3 linked regions of the Oryctolagus cuniculus genome follow. The protein of the gene in region 2 purifies or fractionates together with the protein of the main gene of each other region. This does not show direct contact. Links are inferred from orthologs where the notes say so. Each region holds a gene or a part of one and is shown on either strand. Other genes may lie near its edges. The genes, in order: SMURF2, CUEDC1 and TOM1.

Evidence for each region.
Region 1: the proteins of CUEDC1 (region 2) and SMURF2 purify together in Homo sapiens (co-immunoprecipitation; 3 studies listed by BioGRID and IntAct, with this or other methods). This does not show direct contact. The link is inferred for Oryctolagus cuniculus from reciprocal best matches to the Homo sapiens genes CUEDC1 and SMURF2.
Region 3: the proteins of CUEDC1 (region 2) and TOM1 purify together in Homo sapiens (co-immunoprecipitation; 3 studies listed by BioGRID and IntAct, with this or other methods). This does not show direct contact. The link is inferred for Oryctolagus cuniculus from reciprocal best matches to the Homo sapiens genes CUEDC1 and TOM1.

What each region holds. Positions count from the first base shown.
Region 1 is NC_091448.1:14,182,202-14,185,846, forward strand, and holds part of SMURF2 (E3 ubiquitin-protein ligase SMURF2), read left to right. Parts: intron 1-934; coding exon 935-1,072; intron 1,073-2,255; coding exon 2,256-2,376; intron 2,377-3,645. UniProt on the Homo sapiens protein: E3 ubiquitin-protein ligase which accepts ubiquitin from an E2 ubiquitin-conjugating enzyme in the form of a thioester and then directly transfers the ubiquitin to targeted substrates.
Region 2 is NC_091448.1:33,327,232-33,330,876, reverse strand, and holds part of CUEDC1 (CUE domain-containing protein 1), read left to right. Parts: intron 1-59; coding exon 60-143; intron 144-1,586; coding exon 1,587-1,658; intron 1,659-2,391; coding exon 2,392-2,485; intron 2,486-3,372; coding exon 3,373-3,431; intron 3,432-3,645.
Region 3 is NC_091442.1:112,909,812-112,913,456, reverse strand, and holds part of TOM1 (target of Myb1 membrane trafficking protein), read right to left. Parts: intron 1,694-3,645; coding exon 1,615-1,693; intron 745-1,614; coding exon 595-744; intron 324-594; coding exon 189-323; intron 114-188; coding exon 1-113.

The sequences.
Region 1 (3,645 bases), about 19 Mb from region 2:
TTTTTAAAATTACTATATATGATGATGTCTTCAGTGTAATGCAGGTTCTCTCACAATCCTGCATGTGTTAGAATAGCAAATTCCTGCCTCCATTGCTTTTAATGAAGTGATTGCTAGAACAATGCTTATCAAAAAACTAATGCTGTTTAAGGTAAGAACCAATGTCGGCCGGTGCCGCAGCTCACTAGGCTAATCTTCCACCTTGCGGCGCTGGCACACCGGGTTCTAGTCTCGGTCGGGGCACCAGATTCTGTCCCGGTTGCCCCTCTTCCAGGCCAGCTCTCTGCTGTGGCCCGGGAAGGCAGTGGAGGATGGCCCAAGTGCTTGGGCCCTGCACCCCATGGGAGACCAGGAGAAGTACCTGGCTCCTGCCATCGGATCAGCGCGGTGCACCAGCCGCAGCGCGCCGGTCACAGCGGCCATTGGAGGGTGAGCCAACGGCAAAAGGAAGACCTTTCTCTCTGTCTCTCTCTCTCACTGTCCACTCTGTCAAAAAAAAAAAAAAAAAAGTCATTTGCAGGAATTCAGTTTATGAAAATAAAATAGCAATATTTTTTTACAAAGTATACAGGTTGCTTTCTTATTGGGGGTCCTCAGGCTTTTGGTCTCTTGGGGTACCCAGATTGAGTAGGATCTGTTATCTCAGCTCCAGACATAATTTTCCTGTGTTGGTCATTCTAGCCTAGCCTAGCTTTGACCAGAACTCTTCCTCATTATTCAGAAAGTGAAATGCTTCTGATGTGTATGAAGGTTAAAGCTCTGACTTTTCTGCTTAAGAATTAGGTGATGTGGAAGCGTAGGAGCTAATGAGAGGAGTCTGACCTTAATTTGTCCTGTCATGGAACTGTCGTATTTTTATCTCTAACAATTAATATACTTAACAGACTGTATTTTAGGTTTGCTAATTATGTATCCTTTTCTCTTGCCTACCTAGTGAAAATGATATTACAGGTGTTTTGGACCATACCTTCTGTGTTGAACATAATGCATATGGTGAAATTATTCAGCATGAACTTAAGCCAAATGGCAAAAGTATACCTGTTACTGAAGAAAATAAAAAAGAATATGTCAGGTAAATAGTTTTATGTTATCAAGGATGAGATTTTTTTAATATAGAATGGCAGTGTAAAAAACATTTAAGCATTTAGGTAGTATTATTTATTGCTACAGAATAAGTTTCCACAGAATTTAGTGACTTAAAAATCACCACTGTCTTATTTCTTACAATTCCAGGGTTCGACTAGTTTGGGCAGAGAACAGGGATGGATGGCACACTGCTATTCCATAGATGTCAGCCAGGACTGAGAGGCCAGGATGGCCTCTTTGCTGACATATGTGAGACCTCAGTTTGGCTCAAATGGCTGAGGGTTCAGACAGTAATAATTGCCTTCCAACTACAAGTGTGCAAAAAAAAAAAAAAAAAAAAAAAAAAACAAAACAAAGAAAAACTTCTACAGTGCAGTTTTGCTGCCCCCTTAAACCAACCAACAAAAACAAAACAAAAAAGGTCTTGCAGAGGATGCAATGTTAAACTTACTTCTTAAAGTAGGGAACTCTTTCTCCTAGTTTAGAAAAGGGAATGTAAATAACAAATTTGACAGATGAGTAGTTCCAAGATGTGGGGACAGATAGATAAAGCAGTGCACATATGATTACAGGTCCCAGTTAAAAGCACAATGTTACACGACAGAGGTAGTTCAATGTGCTTCTTGTTGGGAACACACTTGTTCCAGAGTTTTTACAGTCTCCAGGAAACGATGAGTAGTTAATCAAACGGTGCTTACTATTATTGGCTCTTACTATTTATTCTCATTTTTGTTATGAGTACTCTACCTCCTTTTCCCTCAAACTTCCCCCAGACATAAACAAAATACCCACCATTCAGTTATATTTTCAAGTAAAACCAGAAAGATGATCTTTTTTGAATGAATGAGCTCTGTTCTGGTTGTTGGTGTATATGCTTAAGTTTATAAAAACATTTTATCAAGATTTTAACTTTAGACCCTAAAGTTTATTAGGAGTTTCCCAGATTTGATGCTGCCCTTGGTAATGCAAGGTTACAACTTTTTATCTACATTGGACCTGCCTCACAGTTAGGTATGCATTTAGCTCCTTAGTCTAAGATTCTTTTAGACTTTAGACTAAATTCTTATGCTAGATGCTTGTACAGTGCACTGTTGCTTGAGGGAGAGATTCATAGTTATTAGCAAATCTGAATATATATGGTCCTGTGAAACCCTTACCCCATCTTACAGGCTGTATGTGAACTGGAGATTTTTACGAGGCATTGAGGCTCAATTCCTGGCTCTACAGAAAGGATTTAATGAAGTCATTCCACAGCATCTGCTGAAGACATTTGATGAAAAGGAGTTAGAGGTCAGTGCGTTAATATTATGACAACATCTAGTGCAACAAGAAAGAGTGGCTGTTATTCTCTTAGCTTTAAAGGAAAGTTGTGTTTCTGATGCTTTTGAAATTTTGTTTTCAGTGCTGTGAGAATTCTTAGTTGTAAGAAATGTCATTTCATTCTTTGGAATTTCTGAGTGAGCAATCTCTTGTGAATTGTGAATATTCTTATTTAAAGATTTATTTATCTGAAAGTCAGAGAGAGAGATTGGAGAGACATAGAAGTCTTGTATCTGCTGGTTCATTTCTCAAATGGCCACAATGACCCAAGGATGGGCCAGGCTGAAGCCAAGAGCCAGGAGCTTCTTCCAGGTCTCCCATGTAGGTGCAAAGGCCCAACCACTTAGGCCATCCTCCACTACTTTACCAGGCACATTATCAGGGAGCTGGATCGGAAGTGGGCAAGCCAGGGCTCAAACTGGCACCTGTATAGGATGCTGGCACTGCAGGTAGCAGTTTTACCCACTGTGCCACTGCGCCTGCCCCAGTCTGCAAATAATTTAACACATGACTGTATTCTTTTTTTTTTTTTTTTTTGACAGGCAGAGTTAGAGAGAGAGAGACAGAGAGAAAGTCTTCCTTCTGTTGGTTCACCCCCAAAATGGCTGCCCTGCCAGGAGCCAGGTGCTTCCTCCTGGTCTCCCATGCAGGTGCAGGGCCCAAGCACTTGGGCCATCCTCCATTGCACTCCCGGGCTACAGCAGAGAGCTGGACTGAAAGAGGAACAACTGGGACAGAACCAGCGCCCCAACCGGGACTAGAACCCGGAGTACCGGTGCTGCAGGCTGGAGGATTAGCCTAGTGAGCCACGATGCCAGCCCACATGACTATATTCTTTTAACTTTAATGTATGTCCTTTCTAACTAAATCTGTTAACTGCTCTGCTAGCAAACAAATCTAATAGCATAGGGTTGACTCATCGTATCCTCATCTTTTATGATTGAATTATTATTCGTGAAATGGCCAGAGGGAAGTAGTCAGAAGGAGGAGGAGAACATAGCAGGAATGTCATCTGTTTTTCATCTGTTTATACAATGAATGAGGAATTTGGCCTTGTAATTGCCACTCCTCTAAGGAAAAGAATTTAGGAGGTATCTTTTGTGTTAGAAATATGCCCATAATCTTTTTTGGATAATATCCTCTCTGCAAGTATGGCTTAGATTCAGTAATCTTTTTAGGACCCTAGAGTAGCTTTGTGGAGATTTTGTTTAGTGGCATTAGGATTTATTATATAGTTTG
Region 2 (3,645 bases):
TGTGTGCCCTTGCTGGCCCGGGAGCCCCCTCCACTGACAGGAATGTGGTCCTTTTCCAGATCGATTGAAATACGAGTCCCAGAGATCCAAATCTAGCAGTGTGGCTGCGGGAGGCGACTTTGGCTTTCCCTCTTCTGTCCCAGGTAAACTTGCCTACCTTCAGAGGACCTGGGGACACAGGGGCTCACACCCCATTCTTCTTCACACAGTCGCGGTTTATGGGGTAGGGTGAGGACACAAATGAGGCTGGGGTCCTGGGCCCCTAAGCAGGGGAGTCTGGGGGGTCCACTGAGCAGCCGGGGTTCTCACCAGCGCAGGAGCGGCGGGGACTTGGGCGCCCACAGTACAATCCACAGGCTGTGCCCAGAGCATGGCTGCAAGGGGACACGCTGCACCGCGTGCTGGGGCTTGGGGATGGGAAGCACTCAGAGACTTACGGGGCTCGCTTTCTGCCCTGGGGGAGCTTACACTGGAGCACGGGGAGGGGAGGGCAGGGTTAGTCTGGGCAGGGCTCATTTGTTCATTCATTTACTTATCAAAGAGCTGGGGAGCAGCTGTGAGGTGCCGGTCCTGCCCTAGGTGTCAGGGGAAGGGGCATTTCAAGCTTCGTGCACAAAGGTAGTGAGAATCAAGAATTGCCTGAAGAGGGCCGGGCTCCTTCGCTCAGGGGCCCTCACTGTGGGAGGAAGGGGTGGGCCGTGCTGCCATTGGGGTGCACGGACTGGAGGGGCATGGGGTACACTCGGCAGGTGGCACAGGGCAGCTGGTCAGTCAGTGCCCACCTCAGAGAGAGGCTCAGCAGCTTTTGCCTGGGACAGTCCTTACGTGCTATGGTGAGTGGGGAGACAGAAGGGTGGGGACCTCGGTGGATCCTAGCTCCGAGAAAGAAAACACTGGGGGAGCTGATTTAAGCAGCAGACTGGAGGCTTAGGCCCAGCAGAGGCGCATCTGGGAGTTTTAATGGGAGCCTCTTGTCCTTGATCCCGAATTAACTCGGGGCGTTGGGCTGCTGAGATGGATCCCAGTGACTCAGCGGGGACTTAGCAGGCAAGGTGACTTGGGCTTAGCCAGGCTGCAGGGGCAGAGCAGTGAGTTAGGAGGGCAGAGACAAACCCCAGCAGGCGAGGGACAGAGAAACCCTGAGCCAGCCAGGGCGACCCTGGCTGGAGCTGGGCCCTGACTCTTGGCCAGGCCCCTTCTGGTTCCTACTCCTCGTCTGTGTGTGGAGGGAGTGATGTAGGGGCTGGCCCTGGAGGGAGGAGCCAGTCACCCTGACCCACTCTCCCCTGCTGCCCTCCAGGATGCTCAGGTGTAGGGAAGCCCCGGGCGTAGCTCCTGTTGACCTCCACGGCATAAATGCTCGCCTCATGGCCAACGTGAGCCCCCAGCCTGACTATGCCGGCGGCCACGGCAGGCCTTTGTGTGCTGCATGCCTGGCACCAGAGCCCGCAGGGAACCCGGAGCTCTCCTTGCTGTGGACTCCCAGCCAGGGAAGGGCCTTCCCGGATGGAAGGATGGGGCCGGGACAGCCCCGACCCTCCTCCCCTCCGAAGACCCCAGCCCTTAGTCGGTGTCTCCGCCTTCAGGAAACAGTGATGCCAACCCTGCCGTGTCCGAAGATGCCTTATTCAGGGACAAGTTGAAACACATGGGAAAATGTGAGTCCAGCCCGTGGCCCCTGCCTGTTCCAGCGTTGCCCCGAATTTTTAACACAAACGGCCCGAAAGGAGAGAGGGAGCCACCCCCAATTTTTAACATGGCTGACTCCTGATGAACCCAAATGACATTTTAATCACAGGCTGGCTCCCTCGGCCTTCCTGCCTCACTTCTGTGTTCAGCTGAGTCTGGATACAAATTAAGTTTTAAATCCTCTCCAGCCAGCTGTCCGCAAGGAAATCACACTCCATGCATCCTCTGGCCCCAGGGTCAGCGTTCTTGCTCGCTGTGGCCTGGCCGGGCCTGCCCAAGCTCTTCTATGGGGCCCCAGGGACCTCTTGCTACCAAGCCCTGCCAGCCCGGAGCACCCCCTCCTGGCCATGGCAGACCGGGGGCGGGGGGGGGGGGGACAGGGCTGTCACTCGCCCCTTCCCTCTGCTTCAGGGAAAATCTCGGATTAGTCCTGGAAATCCCAGCACCAGCTCGGGAGGCAGCTGGGGGAGGGGCCACGGCCTGCGGCAGCTGGGGAAGGAATACCCGGATCCTGGGCTGCCGGCTGGCCTCGGCCCGGGCTCGCCCTGGCCTCTGCTGCCCCTGCAGGCCGACCTAGCCAGCAGCTGTACTCCAGAGGCTGCCCCCTCCTCTGCCATCCTTGTCACCTCCCCCTCCCTCCCAGGGAGGCCATCTGGCGCTCCGGCTGCCCAGCGAGGGGCTCACAGGTCTCTCTGTCCCCAGCCACCCGCAGGAAGCTGTTTGAGCTTGCCCGGGCCTTCTCCGAGAAGACCAAGATGAGGAAGTCGAAGAGGAAACACTTGTTGAAGCATCAGTCGTATCCTTTCCTCCTGGCACCGGCCTGGGGCAGGGCACGTCCGGCTGCACTCCTGAGGCTGGGCCTCCCACAGTGGGGGGACCCGGCTCCGTGGCCTCCCCATCCCCTGAGCCAGGCTGCCAGCTCGTGCCTGTCTCCCAGTGCCAGTCTGCAGCTCCAGCGGCTCCTGTCTTCCTTCTGCAAGAAAAATGGTTTCTTCGCCATCCGCAAACCTTCTCCTGATTTCTTTTTTTTTTTTTTTTTACAGATTTATTTATTTATTTGAAAGTCAGAGTTACACAGAGAAGGAGGGGCAGAGAGAGAGGGAGAGAGAGGTCTTTCATCTGCTGGTTCATTCCCCAGATGGCTGCAACAGCTGGAGCTGAGCTGATCCAAAGCCAGGGGCCAAAAGCTTCTTCCGGGTCTCTCATGTGAATGCAGGGGCCCAAGGACCTGGGCCATCTTCCACTGCTTTCCCAGGCCATAGCAGAGAGCTGGATCGGAAGTGGAGCAGCCGGGACTTGAACCGGCGCCCCTTTACCCGCTACGCCACAGCGCCGACCCCTCCTGATTTCTGCATCTGTGCTGCCCCACGATGCTCCTGCCTCCCCACTCTCCGCAAGCAGCAAGAAGGGCTGCCACACTTTCACTCAGATGCCCAGCCCACGTGTCCGACAGGGCCCAGGGTGGTGGGAGCCCGCAGGCAAAGGGGAACAGGGAGAAAGGTGCTTCTCAGTCCCCAGAGGTGGGGCACGGTGACCCCAAGGGAGGGCACCCGGGGCCTGGTATTGGGGGCAGGTGGGTGCGGTGGGAGCCTCCTGGGCTTGCAGGGGTGGGACTGAGTGGACCACAGCAGTGGGCCCCCAACCCCCCTACTCCCGGGACAATTTTCCTGAGCGGCTCTGCAGGCTGGGGGCTGCGGCGTCAACGGCCAACCTCCTGGACGACGTGGAGGGCCACTGCTGCGGTGAGGCTGGCCAGGAATCTTCAGCCCCGGTTTGCCTGTGATTGGGGCGCCTCCGAGAGGGGGTGCTGGGTGTTGCGTGGGTGGACCCACCCTGACCGGAAGGGAGCACCCGGCCCAGGGGTTGGTGCAAGGACCCGTGTGGACTCCCCCTTCCTATTGGCCCTGGAATGGCGCCCCGGCCCCACCTCCACCTCAGTCACTGCCTGCAGCACAC
Region 3 (3,645 bases), on a different chromosome or scaffold from region 2:
GGGAGTTCAGCCAGGGTGTGCAGAGTGGCCATGTGCTGGCTCGAGTCCCCTCGCTGACCGGCATCAGAGCTGGCAGAACTCTGTCCTGATGGCGACTCGGAGTTGAACACGGTCTAGAGGGTGAGAAGCAGCGTCAGCGAGGCCTCCGGGCAAGGTCAGGGTCAGAGCCCCGCGGGCTGGCTGCTCACCCTCTGCGGCGTGTGGATGGGCGACAGCATGTCCAGGTCGGTCATGGGAAACTCCAGGCCCTTCCTGCGCAGGTCCTCGTACACGGTGACAACACCTGTCAAATCGGGCGAGCTGCGGAACGCGTCAGCCCAGGACTGAGAGGGGACAAGGGGACACGGCCAGTAACCACTGCTCGCTTTCTCCCCTGCCAGCCTGCCTGCCCTGGCACCTGGCACGAGAACTTTCCTCCCGGACACGCTGGTCCCACCTTTGCCCAGCCCACTCCACAGCAAGGCCTCTCCCCACGCACATCGGCTAACGGCTGGGCTGCCCAAAGGTGAGAACGACAGCCTGGGGCAGACACGTGGCAGGGGCGCCTCCCTCCCTGGCTGCCTCCCCGCCCCGCCCCCTCGCGCTGGCACTCACTTGGATGAGGTTGAGCACCTTGTCGTGCACGATGGTGGGGGGGTTGTTCTTGGGCAGGATGGTGCGCACCAGCACGCCCTCCACGAAGTCCTGGCTGGCCACCAGCACGTGGAAGCGGTGCCCGCAGTTCTTGACGCAGGTTTCCAGGACCTGGAGGGTCGCAGGGTGCCACTGAGCGCCCCAGACCGTGGCGGGGCGGGGGGCCCAGGCCCTGCACTCTCCCAGCTCCTACCCCGTGCCACAGGAAGGCCGAGCGGAGGAGGTGGGACTTCCTATAACGAGGTCCTACAACGTGCAGAACTGGGGACAACGCTGGGACGTGGGGGCTTCCTTTCTGGGTGTGGCTGCGGAGGGGCGGGGTGGAGGGGGCTGCTGCCTGGAATGCACTGGTGTCAGCAGCATCCTGATGCCCCTCCCAGCTGAACACGGTCAAGACACGGTGGCTCTCCAGGAGGAAATCAAAGGGCACCTGAGCTGTCTGTCACCTGGCGACACTGAGGCCTGAGGACAAGCAGGCTAAAGTCCTTCTCCAATCTCTGCCCCCACTTCCCGGCAGGAGCTGCTGGGGCTGTTCCCTGCAGGCAGAGCCACGGGGACAGAGCGCTCCCCTCGCCCCGCCCCGCCAGGCCCATCCTGAAGCCAGGCTGCCGGGCACGCCCGGCTAGCTCGGCACCCTGGACTGCTTCGGGGCTGTGGGCAAGGCTGTTCTCAGCCACTGGCATTTGTTTCATGTTCACTTCCATGGTGTCCAGGAGCCGAGCAGCACCCAGGGTGGCCTGCCTGGCTTTGTGTCCCAGGAAGCCTGGTGTACCAGACTGTTACGTCATGGGCATGTGCCCCAGTGGCCTCAGTGCCCCCGCCGCAGAACTCTCCCGCCATCCGCGTGCACCTGCACTGCTCACAGGAGACAGCTTTGCCTGTGGACATTTCCTTCCCAGCCCCAGGTGGGCAGGAGACCCCCAGGCCTGAGGTCCTGGCTCAGGATGAACGGACAGATGGACAGACGGATGGGGCACTCACCGTGAGAGCCAGCATCACCTCGTGGAAGTTCTTATTGCCCACGATTCTCTTCTTCACTGCTCGGAAGGCATCCTTGGGGCTGGGAAGGACGGAAGGACGGATGGCTTGGGGCGGAGCCTCCCAGCCCAGCGCAGGGCTGCTAGCCTGAGCGCGGGAGGCCCTGCCGGGCTGCGCTGGCCCCGCTGGCCTGTCCTCCCGTGCTCTGTCCGCCCACCTGCCTGGCCTCCACTTGGCTTAAGCTCCCCCATGTTCAGGGCAGCACACTAGGTATGGGGACACGAACAGCACCAAGCACGCCACTTCCAGGGATCTCGTGTTCTGGGGAGACCCAGGGGCTGGGGGAGGAGGGGCTGGGGGAGACCTCTGCAGTGGCGGATCCCATGTGAGGTGATGGAACAGTGGGGGAGGGCAAGAGCAGGGGCGGAGGCCCTGGGGCGGGAGGAGCTTAGTGCCTTGGACTGCGTGGGGGGAGGGGAGGGAAGGTGGATTCATGTAAGGGCAGTGAGAGGCCACCTGCTCTCTGTCCCTTCCATAACTCCACCGCCACCTCTACCCCCACCCTGCACAGGTATGACCAGGGACGCTCGCCTGCCTAACGGCCTTTGCTCACACCCTCACCCTCACCACAAAGGCTTCTCACGCCCACGCCCACAGCCTGGGGCCCAGCTGAAACCCACCCTCCGCGGCGCTGCCCCAGGTTCCCAGCATCCCTGGGGTGTACGGCGGTGGGCACGGCCGTGTATGTGGAGCCTCCGGGCGGGCAGCCCCCTTGGACACCTCCCCTGTGGCGCCCGCCTGTGGCAGGAGCACGGGCTGCACGTCCCCGGGCAGATGAGTGGCCGAGGGGGCCGTCCTGCTTCTGCTGCCACCGGCTAAGTCAGGGGTGTCTGGAGGCCGGCCCGGCCCCAGGCAGGAGTGGATCCCGCAGCGGGGTCAGAGCCATGCGCCTGGTCAGGGCTGCCAGAGAGCCAGGGCAGGGCAGGGGATGCTGCTCCAGGCGGGCGGCAGCCGGGCCCAGAGCATGAGAGAAGTTTCTAGCCCAGTGCACTCTGGAGTAGCTTTCTGCTCTTGGCCTGACCGCCGGCCTGGGGGCGTCTTGGTGTTCTATGGGGATGCATTCCCACTTCTTGCAGAGGGCCCTGGAGGAAAGGGCCACACTCCCCGCGGAGCCAGGCCTGGCCCGGGGGCTGCTGCTGTGGGCCTGCCACGTGTCCGGCACTCCCTACTATGTGTCACCTCCTGCTGTGGCCTCCTTCCTGCTGCCACCTTCATTGTGGGGGCGCTGCCCTCTGCCCACCACGCCCATCCCCACCCTCAGCTGATGAGTGCAGACATGGGTGTGAGTGCCCCCAACCCCAGCTCCAGGGCCGGCCCCGAGAGCGGCTGAGGAAAGCGCTGGAAGGCGCCTACCAGCCTTGGCCCTCTTCTGCCTGTGCCCCCACCTGCCTGAGAGGGACGGGTGGGGCGGGGAAGTGGGTTATCCCAGTGAGGTATGGCGTGGGAACAGGTCCTTGCCGATCGTTGACCCTCACTTACCAGCAGCACTTGCTCTGGCAGTGCCGCCCCCCGCCCCCAGCTGTGCTGAGACGATGACCACCACACATCCCCTTTCAGCTCCCACCAGGGACCTGGGCTGCAGGTGGAAGGGCCTCACAGAGCTTCAGAGAGGCGAAGTGACTTGTCCACGGTCACAACAGGTCAGTGACACGGGGTCAGAGATCTGAAGCCACGCCCCCAGACCTCCCTCCGCGTTACAAGCCTTGACTCCCCGGCTCTGAGCTGGACAACGTCCTGACCCGCACCAGAGACGCCCGCACGACCGGCCTTTCCATCCTGCTTCACGTTCATGCCTCCTGCGGCCCCCTGGTTTCAAACCGTAGGGAGATGGAGTCCGTTCTTGCCCACAGACAGCAGGAGGGAGTCCCTGATGTGGTTCCTGCCCAGAGTGCAGAAGCACACCCGGCGCCACCTCCCAGGGCCAGAGTCTCTGCCTCTGCTTGTCTGAGGGAGCGGCTGCACACAGGCTGCTGC